3 linked regions of the Coturnix japonica genome follow. The main gene of each other region encodes a partner of the protein of the gene in region 3 in a complex. Links are inferred from orthologs where the notes say so. Each region holds a gene or a part of one and is shown on either strand. Other genes may lie near its edges.

What was found.
Region 1: SRSF1 (region 3) and PA2G4 share a complex: the UniProt entries of both Homo sapiens proteins name them as parts of the ribonucleoprotein complex. The link is inferred for Coturnix japonica from reciprocal best matches to the Homo sapiens genes SRSF1 and PA2G4.
Region 2: SRSF1 (region 3) and DDX5 share a complex: the UniProt entries of both Homo sapiens proteins name them as parts of the ribonucleoprotein complex. The link is inferred for Coturnix japonica from reciprocal best matches to the Homo sapiens genes SRSF1 and DDX5.

The regions. Positions count from the first base shown.
Region 1 is NC_029544.1:857,723-862,963, forward strand, and holds the start of PA2G4 (proliferation-associated protein 2G4), read left to right. Parts: upstream 1-1,639; 5' UTR 1,640-1,786; coding exon 1,787-1,874; intron 1,875-3,271; coding exon 3,272-3,400; intron 3,401-3,890; coding exon 3,891-3,996; intron 3,997-4,231; coding exon 4,232-4,301; intron 4,302-4,492; coding exon 4,493-4,585; intron 4,586-5,028; exon of another isoform or gene 5,029-5,214; coding exon 5,215-5,241. UniProt on the Homo sapiens protein: May play a role in a ERBB3-regulated signal transduction pathway. Seems be involved in growth regulation. Acts a corepressor of the androgen receptor (AR) and is regulated by the ERBB3 ligand neuregulin-1/heregulin (HRG).
Region 2 is NC_029533.1:7,249,301-7,254,675, forward strand, and holds the start of DDX5 (probable ATP-dependent RNA helicase DDX5), read left to right. Parts: upstream 1-1,861; 5' UTR 1,862-1,972; coding exon 1,973-2,004; intron 2,005-3,412; coding exon 3,413-3,578; intron 3,579-3,709; coding exon 3,710-3,806; intron 3,807-3,889; coding exon 3,890-4,023; intron 4,024-4,141; coding exon 4,142-4,207; intron 4,208-4,660; coding exon 4,661-4,802; intron 4,803-4,897; coding exon 4,898-5,058; intron 5,059-5,223; coding exon 5,224-5,375. UniProt on the Homo sapiens protein: Involved in the alternative regulation of pre-mRNA splicing; its RNA helicase activity is necessary for increasing tau exon 10 inclusion and occurs in a RBM4-dependent manner. Binds to the tau pre-mRNA in the stem-loop region downstream of exon 10.
Region 3 is NC_029534.1:7,446,026-7,451,529, forward strand, and holds the start of SRSF1 (serine/arginine-rich splicing factor 1), read left to right. Parts: upstream 1-2,196; 5' UTR 2,197-2,352; coding exon 2,353-2,546; intron 2,547-2,889; coding exon 2,890-3,074; intron 3,075-3,431; coding exon 3,432-3,604; exon of another isoform or gene 3,605-3,873; coding exon 3,874-4,068; 3' UTR 4,069-5,504. UniProt on the Homo sapiens protein: Plays a role in preventing exon skipping, ensuring the accuracy of splicing and regulating alternative splicing.

The sequences.
Region 1 (5,241 bases), on a different chromosome or scaffold from region 3:
CAACCCCGACTACTGGCACAGCCGCCTCTTTGCTAAGGTGGATGCCCAGCGGACTTAGAGACCCCCCCCCCTCAGCTGTTTACACTGGATATGAAGGATCATCCCCCCTACACTGGTGCTGGATGGAGGGTGTGAGACAAAGCCCCATGGGAGACATGAAGAATGGGATTGAGGGGGGGGGAGGGCAGCCCTGCCTGGGTTTGGGGCTGATTCTGAACCCCCCATTGGGAGGGGGGGCTTGGACCCCTCCCCTCATTACTGCCATACCCCAGGGCTATTCCCAGCACCCCCCTACCCATGGTGCTCCCCATGTGCACGGCTGCAGCAGCAGGTCCTGGCTGGGGTCGGGGGTCCCTGCTTTGAGTTGGGGTCCCTGCTTTGGGGTTGGGGTTGGGGGCCCTACCTGTGGGGTTGGGGTCCTCCCCTCATTACTGCCATACCCCAGGGCTATTCCCAGCACCCCCCCCCCCCATGGTGCTCCCCATGTGCAGGGCTGCAGCAGCAAGTCCTGGCTGGGGTTGGGGGTCCCTGCTTTGGGGTTGGGGATCCTGCTTTTCAGTTGGGGTCCCTGCTTTGAGTTGGGGTCCCTGCTTTGGGTTGGGGTCCCTGCTTTGAGTTGGGGTCCCTGCTTTTCAGTTGGGGTCCCTGATTTGGGGTTGGGGGCCTTACCTGTGGGGTTGGGGTCCTCCCCTCATTACTGCACATACCGCCAGGCTTATGCCCAGCACCCCCTCCCCATGGGTGCCTCCCATGTGCAGGGCTGCAGCAGCAGGTCCTGGCTGGGGTTGGGGATCCTGGCTTTTTCAGTTGGGGTCCCTGCTTTTTCAGTTGGGGGTCCTGCTTTTTCAGTTTGGGTCCTGCTTTACTCAGTTGGGGTGCCACTGATTTGGGGTTGGGGGCCTTACCTGTGGGGTTGGGGTCCTCCCCTCATTACTGCCATACCCCAGGGCTATTCCCAGCATCCCCCCTCCCCATGGTGCTCCCCATGTGCAGGGCTGGGGGCGGGGGTCCCTGCTTTGAGTTGGGGTCCCTGCTTTTGGGTTTGGATCCCTGCTTTGAGTTGGGGTCCCTGCTTTTGGGTTGGGGTCCCTGCTTTGGGGTTGGGGTCCCTGCTTTGAGTTGGGGTCCCTGCTTTGGGGTTGGGGGCCCTACCTGTGGGGTTGGGGTCCTCCCAGCTGCCGTGGATGGGGGCCCTGCTTCTTTCCTTCCTTTAGGGGTTGGATTGAAGGCTAACTCTGACTGCAGGCCGCGCTACCCCAGCACCCAACGGGGCTCTATGGGGCAGGCCTGAGCCGTGCCCGTAGGCCTCATAGAGGCCTTTTCAATGCACTCCGGTCACCTCCCCGCTCCAAAGGGGGAGGGAGTCGGGTTTCGTTTGTTAACGTGAAAATAAACACGATTGGAATAGAACCGGCTGCTGGTGTGTGATGTGATGGGGGGGATATAGGGGCTAAAAGGAAAGGCCTACCAAGGGCTGAGACCCCGACCTGAGCCCACTAGGCCCAACACAAGTCCTTCACTTCCGCCATCCGGCCCTACTTCCGGTTGGATAATCCGCGCTGCCTTCTGGGAACGGTAGTCCTTAGCTGGGCCTTGCCGCGAGTACTGCCGGGAGTTTATGTAGTCCTGAAAGTGGGAGGAGACTCGGCTTCCCAGCGTGCCCCGCGCGGAGCCCGCGCTCCTGCTCAGCTCGCGCTCTCTCGCTCGCGTTCCCGGGGTCTCCTCAGAGCGGCGGCGGCGGCGTCGGGGGGGGGGAGAACGGGCGGCACCGGCGGCAGCTCCGAGTATGTCGGCCGAGGAGGAGGCGGCCGAGCTGACCATCGCCGAGGACCTGGTGGTGACCAAGTACAAGATGGGGGGGGACATCGCCAACCGTGAGTGCAGGGCCGCGGGGCTGAGGGCTGGGGGGGGGCTGCGTGGCGTTAGGCCTCACGGTGTGTGTGTGTAAATAGGGGGGGGTGGTCCCGGTAATACACACCGATGGCGGCTGTTGAAGGGCCGGATCCTGGTGTTAAGGGGTGGGGAACCGCACGTGGCCTCCGCTCCCCACGTGCACCGGGATGGGGGGGGGGAGGGCAGGGCAGGGCCGGGCCCGGCGGGATCCACGCGGTTTTCCCCCGTCCCGAGTGGATCCGATCGGTTCCTCCCGGTATAAACGAGTGCTGGGCTCGGCCACGAGGCCACGGAGCCCCCCCGGTCTTTTGTTCCCACCCCCCCCCCCTCCTCCTGCCGGGATCACTGCCATGAACACTACATGGACACTGCCCTGTCCCCCCCCCCAACCCTCTGCTGTTTGCTCGTTTATTTCTGCCCACAGCCGTTCCCTCTTGGCCCCTTCACGGTGCTCCCCGAGCCATAAGGACGTGGGATCCTCTCAGGAGGGGCTATAGGGGCCGTACTACCTACATACAACGCAGCCCCGGGGTGGGATGGGGTCATTGCGCTGTTGTTGCTGCCCTGAATGCAGCTCGATTAACAGCAGAGGGTTTCCCTGCTTGGTAGAGTGGTGCCTATGGGACACAGAGCAGCTCAGAGGGGTTCCCTGCTTAGTGTGACAAACACCAGCTCTCTGTCTACCCTTCCTTAGGTAGGTAAGGATAATAATGCCCCTTGTTCTCACCTTTCAGCCCCTTGCTATCAACTAAAGGTCTTTATTACAGCACTCCCTCTTATATTCCTCACCAACATCTGGGACCTGTGGAAAGATTACTGAAGTAATATGAAGCATAACTGCAGTGCTGGGCTCACAATCCTTCCCCTCATTCTATAGAGGCACGTTGACACCCATCCCAGCAGCCAACTACTAATTGTACACACCACAATATGCCCCAGTGTGGGTGCAGCGCTGCCGTACACACACAGTTGTGCAGAGTAAGGGCGGTTTCCTCCTGGTCCCACACGCCCGCGGCTGCCCCTCTGCTCTTTGATGTGCTGTTCGTCTCCCAAGCAGTTTTCAAACCTGTTCCTGTAGCTCTGAGTGCTGCGGAAGGAATGTGGGAGAGCAGTGTTTCTGCTCAGCTCCTTTGTGTGCCAACCCTCCGTGCACCTCGTGAGGCTGCAGTGCTTCACCTGTGCACGTCCCAGCATAAGTTGGTTTGCTCCTGCCTTGGTTCTCAAGAGGCAATATGGATTGAAATGGGTTCTCTGCATATCTCCAGCTCACTCAGTGCAAAGCTGAATCCAGGATGAAGACTAAAGTCATTAACAAAGCAGACTTGGTGCTGTGTGATGAGCTTGGTTAACGTGTTCCATGTCTTGCGTTGCTTTACAGGGGTCCTACGTGCTGTGGTCGAGGAGGCGAACTCGGGAGCATCGGTTCTGTGCTTGTGTGAGAAGGGAGATGCCATGATCATGGAGGAGACGGGCAAAATCTTCAAGAAGGAAAAAGAAATGAAAAAAGGTGAGGCCTGCACACCAACGTGGGTCACTGGGCTGATCCTGCTGAGCTGACATGAGTGGGCAGCAGTGCAGAAACCCAACTCGTCCAGCTTGTCCTGCTTGGAAGCATCACTGCTGAGCTGGTGCTTCCCAGTTCAATGCTCCACTCACTGAAATAAAAGAGTTACTTTGGATAACAGTGTCCTTCCTTTGGGCAAGGCCGGCCCTGTGCTCAGCAATCAACCTGTAGCTGCCATATAAACAGTGTGACACTTGAGTGTGTCACTGAGTTGAGTGTGGAGAGTTGGGGTCCCTTTTGTACACGTCTTACTGCTGAGGATCAATTTGTTTGATAGCTGCTGGGGCAGGAGAGTGCCACACACTGCTCTCCTCGTGCTGTTTCACCAAGGGATTATTCAGTGGGGCACCTTAGCTTTCCAAAGCTCAAACTTAGTGACAATCCACACTGCCTGTACTGTGTCTTCATGGACTATTCTCTTTCTCCTTTACAGGTATTGCCTTCCCAACGAGTATATCAGTAAATAACTGTGTCTGTCACTTCTCCCCATTGAAGAGTGACCAGGACTACATCCTCAAAGATGGAGACTTGGTCAAAATGTAAGCATCTTCATTATGTTTCTCTTGCATCAATGCTTGCTCTTGGCATCCAGGCTTTGCATTTTAGTCCTGTTTGCTGTGTTAAGTACTTCCTCGACGTGTCTAATTACAGAATATAGCAGCTAATCGAGTCAAGCTTTATTAAATATACCTGCATCTTCGAATGCTTTGAGAAGTCACACCAGTTTCCCGAGCCATTAGGCCTCGCCTGTAATTAACTCTCTTTGTGTTGCAGTGACTTGGGAGTCCACGTCGATGGCTTCATAGCAAATGTAGCACACAGTTTTGTCATAGATGCCTCAAAGGTAGGTTGGCCACAGGTTTTCTTTAACAAGGGAAGGGACTAATGGCAGAGCTGGGAAGCCAGAAGTGCTCCTGCTCTCATTTAGATCCCACACACTGTATCTCTATCTTTAGGCAGCCAGAATGGCAGTCTTGCTGATAAGAGGGAAAAGGAGTTGTTCCCTACAAGCCTTTATTTTTCCTCTTCTTTCAGGAAAAACCTGTGTCAGGCCGTAAAGCTGATGTCATCAAGGCAGCTCATCTCTGCGCTGAGGCCGCGCTGCGTTTGGTAAAGCCTGGAAACCAGGTGAGGGAAACAGGGTGTGTGAGTGTGCCCTGATACAGGGAGAGCTCTGCAAAGATGGGCTGTGCATAAAAATATAAAGGCCTGTGACATCGCCTGGGAAGAATGGCCCATCTATGTGGGGAATCTGAAGGCAGCTGTTTGCAGACAGCTGAGTGCTCCTGGGAGCACCAGGGTGGGTAGCAGCAGCTCTGGATCCCTGTAAGGACCCATAGAGGAGCAGTGCTGCTTTTCCCATCCTCTCTGAGCACACAGCTGACCCTCTGTGCCATGCTCAGCTCTTCCTTGCCCACTGTTCAGACACCTCAGCAGCCATAGGCGTTCCCCTTCAGCACCATGTTACTATTACAGTAACCTCCAGCACTGCTCTCAAGCTCCCTGTGTTACCTCCTAAAGGAATGGTGTGTGAGAAGGCACCGGGTGCAGTGCAGGAGGCTGAGCTGACCTCATGTTCCACGTTATTTTTATTGATGGGGGATTAAAAATGGAAGCCTGCCACCATTCCTCCTTTTTTTGGAGGTGTCAGAGCACCACTTGGTTTTATCACCAAACCCTGCCAGGTGAAAGTTAACAGTCGTGCTTCTGGTTTGATTTCTAAACCCTTAATGTGTTTACATGTGTTCTTCATCCAGAATACACAAGTGACAGACGCGTGGAAC
Region 2 (5,375 bases), on a different chromosome or scaffold from region 3:
GACGTTTAACTTAAAGGGGTGGGACACAGAAATGAGGAAGTTTTCTTTCGTAAAGGAAATGAAAAGGAGCGAGGTGCAGCCTCAGTGCACACACACAGAGCAGGCCCCAAGGTTTTGTGTTTCTTTGGTCCTCAGCAAGGTTAAATACACAGCGACAGAAGAGACAAAGTTATAAATAAACAGATCGGAGTGAGCTGTGCTAAGCTGCGTGAAGTAAGAATAAGAAGAGGCCGGATAATTTGCTGCTAACTTTCAGAGCCTTCACGCAGCCTGTTTGCAGATCCATCAGGAGGGTGGGTAGGTATGGAGTGTTAAATGGGGTATTTGAGGGGATAAATGGGGTATTTGAGGGGATAACTTCGGAGCTTGTTTCTTTGTGTCAGTGACTCCTATTGAAAATCAACACCCAGGAGGATCCACAATATAAAATCGTTAGGAAACAATTCGTGCCAAATCAAACCATCATTATGCTTTGTTTGTAAATCATTTGGGGGCCCAGATCTCAAATATTGAGTGTACTGTCAATGTGGAGGCAGGGATTGTTATAAGTGCTTATAAAGGAGGAAAAACAAGGTAGGCTGCAGCTTTGGCTGACAAGGGAGGTGATTCAGATGGTAGGAATATACACAAAAGGTATAAATAAATAGTGAACGATTCACTGATTTTGATAACTCGCTTCGTTTTGGGCCCCCTGTTCTTATCAGGAGGGGGTGTTGAATCGTAAATGCTATTCAGATAGTGTACAGTTAAACTGAAATGCAGTGCATGGTGTGTGAGGAGCTGGGAGTGGGATATAACACAATGTGTGTAGCTGTTAAACGCAGCTCTTGTTATTTTTGTTTCAGAAAAACCTCAGACCGTGAGTTCTGTGAGGAGGTGGGAGGATATAAATGGAGTGTGAAGGCATTTCTCCCTCCTTATGGTGTGTGTGCACTGGGCTGCCAGTAGAGCTGTTATGTACCAGGCCTCACCTCGTTGCTGTGCCCAGAGCCACAGGTGTGAGCTGTTGGTTCCTCCTGGGGCTCCCAAAGGAGGCAGATAAGCAGCGCAGCAGCCACGTCAGCTGCTCCATGTTTGCTGTGCTGTCAGCGCTGTCCCTGCGTGCACTGCTGCACTCCTGGTGACCTTTGAATGGCTGGGGAAAGTAAAAATAGTGACTAATAGTAACTGTATCCAATGCAGGTATGTGCAGCTTGGAAGCGTGCAGTGGGTAAGGGCAGGGTATGAGCGCGCTGCAGAGCATTTAATCCGGCTGCTCTCCTGATTATTTGTGGCCAACCTGTGAAGGCCGCGAGGATTTGCGCCTCTAACTCCTTTAATCGCCCGGAAAGCGAGAGCGGGGCTTCCAGTAACGATGACTGGATAACACAGCGACTGGATAACACAGCCCCGTTTATTTGGATAACACAGCCCCGTTTATCGCTCGGAGCCCTTGAGACCTTCCCCAGGTGGTTCCTCAGTGTCTGTGGGGCCGCAGCATCACCACACACACAGCATCTAACACAGCATCACCACACACGGCTGCGGCCCCTCATCTCCCACCCCGCCGTCCTCTCATCGCACCACTGCCCGCCCCACACCCCGAGGCCTCTCTTGGCCCCAGGCCCGGACCCGCCTCCTGACACCCGCAGTGCGCAGGCGCAGCCGCGGGGGGGGGGGAGGGGGGGAGAGGAGCGGGCGGTGTCGGCACAAGCCCCGCCCCCAAGGGAGGGGCACTTCCGGCGCGCAGCCCGTCAATCATTCCGAGGGGGCGGGGCATTGCGGCGGCTCGGGCCGCTTGTGTAACGGGGGAGGGATCTGCGCATGCGTCACCGCCCGGCTCCCAGCAGCCCGCGCGGCGCCGTATATAACCGGCATCGGGGCGGTGAGGCGTTCTACATTCTGTGGCCCCCACCGACGGCGCCGGATCGCGTCGTGCCCTTCGTCATCCTTTTTAGCGATCGGGACCGTCTCGCCCACCGCCACCATCGCCATGCCCGGGTATTCCAGCGACAGGGACAGAGGGTGAGTCCGGGGGCCCGGCCGGCGCCAGTCGCCGCCAGCGTCCGGACTCTCAGGGCGACCGCGGGGCTCCGCGCGCTGCTGTGGAAGCCGCTCAAAATGGCGGCCGGGCCCGTGGGCTGGGCCTGGAGCGCGGCTCCGCTTTGTGACTGCGGAGCTTCGTGGGGGCGGCGGGGGGGGATCGGCCTCGGCTCACGGCTCAGTTCACAGCTCGGCTCACGGCTCGATCCGGGGCAGCTGGGAGCAGTCATTGGGGGCGGCGTGTGTTGGAGCCGCTCGGGTGCGGGTGGTTGGCGGGGAGCTCCCCCACATCCCCCCCCTCGGGGGGCGGCGGGACGAGGTTTGTGTGTCAGTGGGTTGGCCGGGCGCTGCCGGGCGCTGCGCGATGGCGGAGCCTCGAGGAGCTGAGGGTTGGGCGGTTCCCTCTTCCTCCTTTTCCTGCCCTCGAAGGGGGTCGGCGGCTCGAGCTGTTGCTGGCAGGAGCCGGCCGGCTCCCGCTTTGTGTTGTGTCAGCGGATGTTAATGGCCGGCCCCGCCATGCGGTGACTGAGGGGAAATCAAAATGCCGGCTGCTGCTGCCGCCTTTGTTCCTCCTCCTCCACCCCCCCTCCCCCCCCGCCCAGCTCAGACTCTAAAATGGCAGCGCCTGGAAAATGTGGCGTAGACAGAAATGAGAGACAAAGGAAACAGCGCTGGCAGGAAGCAGCGGCCGCTCGGCTCGGTCCCCTCTGGGAGCGCTGTGCTGTGGTGCACGATCGCTCCCCGCACCCGGTGCCGGGCTGCGGCCGGACGGGGGGAGGCAGCTCCGCGCTCGGCTCCGGGTTAGCGCAGCTCCAGGGGCTCCATGCGGGCACTGAGCCGCGTCCAGCTGCGCTTTGGGGCTGCTGGGATCGGATGGGCTGCGCCGTGTCGCTGCTCAGAACAGAGGGGCACGAGGTTAATAAAACATTAACAGAAAACGCGTGTCCTCACAACGCACGGGCACTGAGAGGAGTTTGTCGTTTGGATACGTGGTAAAAACACGTAGAGGGAAGTTGTAGCCGGGTTTTGTAACAAGCCCTGCCTGCTTTCTGTAGGCTGATAAAATGGGAGTGTCAGTTGGGTAGGAAACCATTTTGATCATGGAGTAATACAGCGGTGTTCATGTTACTTCCTTACCTGTGCTGGATCTTGCCAGTAGGCCATTCTGTTTTATGGGAGCTGCAAAGTAATGCATTACTTCACCTTCTGAGTGTGAAGATAGGTGGATTGCTGCATCTGCCACTTAAGTTTTGAAAGCTTAATATCTCATAGGTGGGGTTGGTAACTCTGAACTGTGAAGTTACAGGGCATACCACAAAGACAGCGGTTACATAATAGCAAGAGGAGAACAAATTTTCTCTTGGATCCTAAATATTGATATATTCTCTAGGTTTGGAGCCCCTCGTTTTGGAGGAAGTAGAGCTGGTCCACTTTCTGGGAAAAAATTTGGAAACCCCGGGGAAAAGCTGACCAAAAAGAAATGGAATTTAGATGAACTGCCCAAATTTGAGAAGAACTTCTATCAAGAACATCCTGATGTAGTCAGACGAACTGCGGTATGTACCCACCCAGCTCACGCAGAAGTAAACAAGCACAAACATGCTTAAGGTCATGGGACCCAGCGTGCAGTAACTTCACTAACTTCCGTGCCAAAGCTGTTTCCAGTAATGAGGTTTTTCTTTTGCAGCAAGAGGTTGAGCAGTACAGGTCAAGCAAAGAAGTCACAGTGAGGGGCCATAACTGTCCAAAACCAATCATAAACTTCTATGAAGCTAACTTTCCTGGTAAGTGCTGGCCAACATATTGTTTTATTTTTTTCCTGTCTTGATTTACAACTTGTGAGTTAAGCTCTAATTTTCTCTTCAAGCAAATGTTATGGAGGTGATTCAGAGGCAGAACTTCACTGAGCCTACTGCTATTCAAGCACAGGGATGGCCTGTTGCCCTGAGTGGATTGGATATGGTTGGAGTTGCACAGACTGGATCAGGGAAAACGCTGTCTGTAAGTTGTGATTATGATGTGGTGTACTGCTGAAATCCAGCAATGAAAGTACAGCCTGGTGTAAGGCAGGCTGAGCTCCTGGGAAGAAACTATAATGTGGCTTTTTTCTTCTGAACAGTACTTGTTGCCTGCTATTGTGCATATAAATCATCAGCCATTCCTGGAGAGAGGAGATGGACCTATTGTAAGTATTCTGAACTGAAGGAGGACCTTAGCTGCTAGAGAAGGTGGATTTCTCACAGTCTAATTGTCCATGTTAATAGGAGTGCATAGTTCTTAATCATGGAAACCTTTTAAAGTGGCCCATGTGTGGTGTTTTGGGTTTCTCTTTTTCTAGTCTCCCAGGAACAGCCCATAAGCTCTGATACGGTTCTATAAAGTTTTACAGAACAGAGCTGCTCTTCCATTTTGGAACTTGCCATCCACTAGAAGCTACAGTGAATTTTGAGTATTTTATCACACATCACTGGCTTGTGTTTAGTAATGGAGATGTTACTTAACTTTGTTTACTTGGTTTGAGATACTCAGTTCTACTTCAGTCAGTCTGGCATTGAAGTGGTGTATAACAACTTTCTGAGTTAAAATGTAAGACTAGAAATTGCATTTATGGAACTAAATCTGGGCATCTTACCTCTAGTGTCTTGTGCTGGCACCAACTCGGGAACTGGCTCAGCAAGTGCAGCAAGTAGCTGCTGAATATAGCAGAGCATGTCGCTTGAAGTCTACGTGTATTTATGGAGGTGCTCCAAAGGGACCACAAATTCGTGATCTAGAAAGAGGTAAGGATAAATCTGGATGCATCTGTGTGAGGTGATGCGAAAACTGCTTATCTGACTTACTGGTTGATTTTTTTTTTTTCTTGTAATTTTTTTAGGTGTGGAAATCTGCATTGCAACACCTGGAAGACTTATAGACTTCTTAGAAGCTGGGAAGACCAACCTCAGGAGGTGCACTTACCTAGTGCTTGATGAAGCTGATAGAATGCTTGACATGGGTTTCGAACCTCAAATCAGAAAAATTGTGGATCAGATAAGAGTGAGTATAGATGGTAGCTGCATTTAATTGTACTACAGAAACAGCAGTGTTTGTTAAAACAAGGATAAGGATAGCGCAGTTAGCTCAGACTTCTGGGTAGACTTCTGTGTTTATGTTTTACTTAATGATATGTTAATTTTGTACTGATAAAATCTTTCTCTCCAGCCTGACAGGCAGACTCTGATGTGGAGTGCCACGTGGCCAAAGGAAGTCAGGCAGCTGGCTGAAGACTTCTTAAAAGAATATGTCCACATCAACATCGGTGCATTGGAACTGAGTGCAAACCACAACATCCTGCAGATTGTTGATGTGTGTCA
Region 3 (5,504 bases):
GCAGCTTATCCACATGCTTTAAGTGCTCCACTGATAACACAGAGCTCAACAAGGGAATGAGAAAGAAAACATCCAATAATTCTATAAAGAGACACTTCATTAAAGCAATTAAGGCAATCATTTAAAGTAGTTATAAGGACTATTAACACACAAAAGAAATTGTGCAGCAGGGTTTTAGCAAACCAGGCAGATTCACCATTATCTTATGACGCCTTTAAGAATAACATCCAGCATTTATTAAACCCCATTCCCAGGCTTAGGCTGCAGCTTTCTCCAGACATGGGGAGAGTTTGTTTGGGGTCTTTGCAACCAGTTCACACTGGAAAGCATTAAAGCTCCATAAAGATGCAGGAAATCCCCCAGAACCATGAGCTGTATGTGGGTAAAGCACCGCTTCTGCTGGTGGGCTTTGCTCATCACATCCTCCTGTGGTTGACAGCAGTCTTTAAAGCACCAGCAATGCAGCACAGGCATCACTAATGTCAGAAACCATTAGAGCAGAGGACGTTACTGCACTTTAACCCACAGGGACAAAAATAAAAGGCATTGATAATAACCAAGCACACTATAACTTTGTCATGAAAATGTTTTCACTATGGGATGTTTTCTAACTGTAAGTCACTGTCTGTGGGAGGAATACACGCTTTGAATTAACAAATGAAAACAAAGTGAGCACAACAGCCACTGCTAAATGCTCGGACACATTCCTCAAACTCCCCTCATCAACTCAGGAGCATAATGGCTTTTCTCCATGCTCAGCTGCTGTTTCCCCATCCCTGTGGTGCTGAGATTCAGCCCTCCAGCACCAGGCAGGCTCAGCGGTGCTGGATGCAGGCAGGCAACCACTGTGTGCCCCAGTGCCACTTCCAGCCCTCAATGCATTGCCACATCTGCAAAGCAAAGCACAACGTCCAGGCAGCCAAGTGTGAGCCAACAGAGCAGGGACTGCTCTGCCCTCATGGGTCAGGCAAAGACTTTATGCTGTATTAAAGAAAGAAAAGTGGATGTTGGAGTTTCTGTGTCACCACAGAGCAGCTACAGGCCAAAAGAATTCTTGTTGTTAAACCAAAGCCTGGCTCATCTAATTGCACCCTCATTACTTAAAAGCAATTTATACGTTCAAAATTACATCTGCTGCCTGAAGAAATGTCAGAGACGTGTGAGTAACAAGGGTAACATCCCGGTGTGTTACTGTGCCTTCACATCAATTACAACCTCATCAAGAAAACAAACTCAGCACGGCGTTATTCTCGTGCCCCCATAGTTCGGCTGTGCTCATAGGAAGGTTCTGCCCATAGTTAGGCTGTGCCCTTAGGCCGGCTCTGCTCACACCCGTACACAGCGCCCGCCATCGCCCCCAGTTCCGCTCGTTTCCCACCCGCCCGGTGTTTGCACTGCTGTTCCATTCATGACTCAGTCCCCATCACACCCTGCCGTGTTCCTGCCCTTTATTCGTATCCCGTTGCCGTCCCGCTGCCCGCCCCGCCGCGTTCCCCTGAGGCGGGCGGTGACGCGGTGCCCGCTCCGTGCCCTCGGGGCGGCCATTTTGCCTCCGCACCGAGCCCGTCCCAACCGTCCCACACAGTGTCCGCTGAGCGGCTGACGGACCCACACGGCCCGCTCCCCGTGCACCCCGTGCAGCCGCAGGGCGGATCCGCCCGCAGCGCTTCGTGCGGACACGGATCGGTTCGGACCGGCCGGGAATGGACGCTCAGTACCGAGCCCGCCCGCCCAGCGCTGCGCACGGCCCGACCCGCCCGCGGTGCATTGTGGGCCGGGCCACGCCCCGCGCCTTGGCGCCAAGAGCCCCGAGCGGCGCGGTGCATTGTGGGACACCCCCAGCGCCGGCCGGGACTTCTTGGCGCGAGCGCCGCACCGGAAGTGACGTCACACGGCCCGGCGCCCTGAGACGGCAGCGGAAAGAAGCGCGGCGGTCCCGGTGCGGACAGCGGGGATCGGAGGCGGATATTCACGTTCATCCCGACCTCGCTGGCAGGAGCGGAGCCTCTTGTGCGGCCACAGCCGCTTTGGCGGAGCAGCGGAGGCGAAAGGCAAAAGAGAGGAACTACTTTTCCGCGCTGCCGCGCATGCGCGAGGGCGAGAGCGCGGCGGGATACTCGGAACGCATTGCGGTCTCGCGGCCCGGCGGTGCTGCGGCGCGGGGTGAGAGAGATCAGTGCGCGAGATCAGTGCGCGCTGCGAGCGCGAGGGGAGCCGCGGTCGCCATTTTGAAGCGGCGGTTGCTGGAGTCGCCGTGTCCGCTCCCGTCCGCACGGCCCGGCCCCGCGCCCGCCCGCCCGCCCGCGCTCCGCGCCCCGGCCCCTGAACGCCGCAGCCATTGCCGACCTCGGCATGTCCGGAGGGGGCGTGATCCGCGGCCCGGCCGGCAATAACGACTGCCGCATCTACGTGGGCAACCTGCCCCCCGACATCCGCACCAAGGACATCGAGGACGTGTTCTACAAATACGGCGCCATCCGCGACATCGACCTGAAGAACCGCCGCGGGGGGCCGCCCTTCGCCTTCGTGGAGTTCGAGGACCCGAGGTGAGCGCCGCGGGGCCCTGGGGCACGGGCGGGAACGGCTCCGCCGGGCGCCGATACCCCCCCCCTCCATTCCCTCCCTTCCTCCACGCGCGGCGCCGCTCCCGCTGCGCGCTATTCCACACACACACACACACACACACACACACACACACGCTCGGCTCGTTGCGCTCCGGGCCCGGCGCGGTGCCGCCGCTGGGGGTGGCGGTGATGGCGGTGATGGTGGTTGTGGTGCTGATGGTGGTGGTGGGGGCGGGGTGGGGCCGCGGGTATTGGGAACAAAGGCGCTGCGGGGGGCGGCGCGTGGCAGGGCGCGGCCGCGCTCACCGCCCGTCCCGACCCGCAGGGACGCCGAGGACGCCGTGTACGGGCGGGACGGTTACGATTACGATGGGTATCGCCTCCGCGTGGAGTTCCCTCGCAGCGGCCGGGGGACCGGCAGAGGAGGCGGCGGCGGCGGAGGGGGCGGAGCCCCGCGGGGCAGATACGGCCCCCCGTCCCGGCGATCGGAGTACAGAGTGATCGTCTCGGGTGAGTCGCTGCTCTCTTCCCCCGGGTCCTTCGTGCTGCCGTGCGCGGGGGGCGACGCGGCTCCGCTTTTCCCTGCGAAGCCTCGGGATGGGGGAGGGGTGCTGGATGCTGTGGGCTGTGTGCAGGGTGTTCTGCTCGTGTGCTGCGGGATGATGCTGGAATTGCAACACCGGAGGCCTTGGGTTCGAATCCCCTGTGGCGCAAGTGGCAGAAGTGCCGCTCTGCTACACAGAAGGCTCAAATCGCGGGGGGTTGGACTCGATGATGTCTAAGGTCCCTTCCAACCCGCACGAGACTGTGATACTATGATATGATCGCACCATTGGGTTTTAAAGCCAGGTGTTGCTTTTTATCCAGGACTGCCTCCAAGTGGAAGTTGGCAGGATTTAAAGGATCACATGCGTGAAGCAGGTGATGTATGTTATGCTGATGTTTTCCGAGATGGAACTGGTGTCGTGGAGTTTGTACGGAAGGAAGATATGACCTACGCTGTGCGAAAACTGGATAACACTAAGTTTAGATCTCATGAGGTAGGTTTCACGCTTACTTGTTTTTGGCCAGAATTGGATACAAAGGGCTTAACAGTAGGATGTGAAGGTAAGGAATGTGTGGTGATCATTGCGTTAATACACGAAGCAGCTAAACTGAGTCTGCTGTCAGTTTGTCACGAAATAGACTTTATTAAGAGTTTGATGTCTATTTCTGTGCCTTAGTAAAGATATCTGCAGTCTGTCAGCATGCCTAAAACGATGGCCCCGAAGCCTAGACCTTTCAATCGAAAGTTGTGTCTATTCAATAGGGAGAAACTGCCTACATCCGTGTTAAAGTTGATGGTCCAAGAAGTCCAAGCTATGGAAGATCTCGGTCACGCAGCCGTAGTCGTAGCAGAAGCCGTAGTCGAAGCAACAGCAGAAGCCGCAGTTATTCCCCAAGAAGAAGCAGAGGATCTCCACGCTACTCTCCCCGCCACAGCAGATCCCGATCTCGTACATAAGCGATCACTAGCTCTGATCTTTTTGTAGAACCCCATGTTGTACACAGTTTTCCTTTACTCAGTACAGTCTTTCAATATTATTTTTTTTTAAATTCAAGCTGTTTTATTCAGATTGGCTGAAGTGTTGAATTGCATTCTTGTGTAAAATCCCTAGTGAGTATTTGCTCCGTAACAACAACATTCCCCCTCATGTCTTTGGTAAACTGTATTTTAATTGATGTCAGTCAGGATTGTTTCAATTTAGTTCTAGTTAAATACCAACACTCTTCAAACTGTGGTATTGCTGTGTAAATGTCTCAGTGTTCAGCTATGGTTCATGCGAGCTGGGGATGTTGGGATGTTTGTGGCTAACTTGTCTCTTCTGGGGGATCTTATATTTTATCTTGCCTTTTCGTGTGTCTTTCTGTAGACATATCTGAAGAGATGGATTAAGAATGCTTTGGATTAAAGGATTGTGGAGCACATGTCAATCATTTTAGGATTGTCAAAAGGAGGATTGAGGAGGATCAGATCAATAATGGAGGCAATGGTATGACTCCAAGTGCTATTGTCACAGATGAACTTGGCAGTATTGACCTTATACTGAGACAGGTGAATTGAGAACGTGCGCCTGCGTGTCACTTCTTCAGGCACCTCTTGGTCACTGCGGGCTGCAATTGCTCTGTTCTTTAAAACCCTCTTGGCAATTGTGGCTCAGTACTTGCCGGTGTAATTCCTTATTCCATTCTAGTCTTTTTTTAAAGGAGTAAACCGGGACAGGGGTGGGAGCATTGGTTTGTCCCGCGGCATTTGGTTCCAAGCGTTAACGGCCCGCAGTACTTCCACGCTTGCGGATCAAGGGTATCTTTAAATGGGAGTATAATATCAATACTGCTAAAATCTGCATGTCCTCTGTGTGACTGATACAGCGTTGCTATTTCATTTCTTTTAAGTATCAGAATGAAAGGGAAAAAAGCCAAAAACCCAAATCCTAAGAGAACCTGGTTGGGAATCGTTTGTCAGCCCTTCCCCAGCCTAATTCAGAGCTGACTCACCGTATTGAGAGCTGCAGTTAGTTCCTCTGTTACCTTCCAGCCGGGGGTGCTGGCCGTAGCTGAGAGGCGCAGTAGGTGACAGCTTTAGCAGTAAAACTTTTCCAATTTCATAAACATTTTTTGCAACCACAGAAGCTGTAGAGCACCACCGTACGAGCAATGAGTATGTTGGCATTTTTAGTTGACATATGTAAATATTGCAGTGTTTCCTCCAAATAATTAACGTTTCTTAAAGAGAACAAAAGATATAGCATCACCATTCAGAAGCTTGTTTTGGGGAATTGATAGTTATTACTGTACATCTGTATTAATTGATGGCAAACATAACTGATCATTCCCCAGAATCCTATTTTTTCATTGCGGTATCTAACTTTTTGCCTCCTCTTTTTTGGTTTTGCTGGT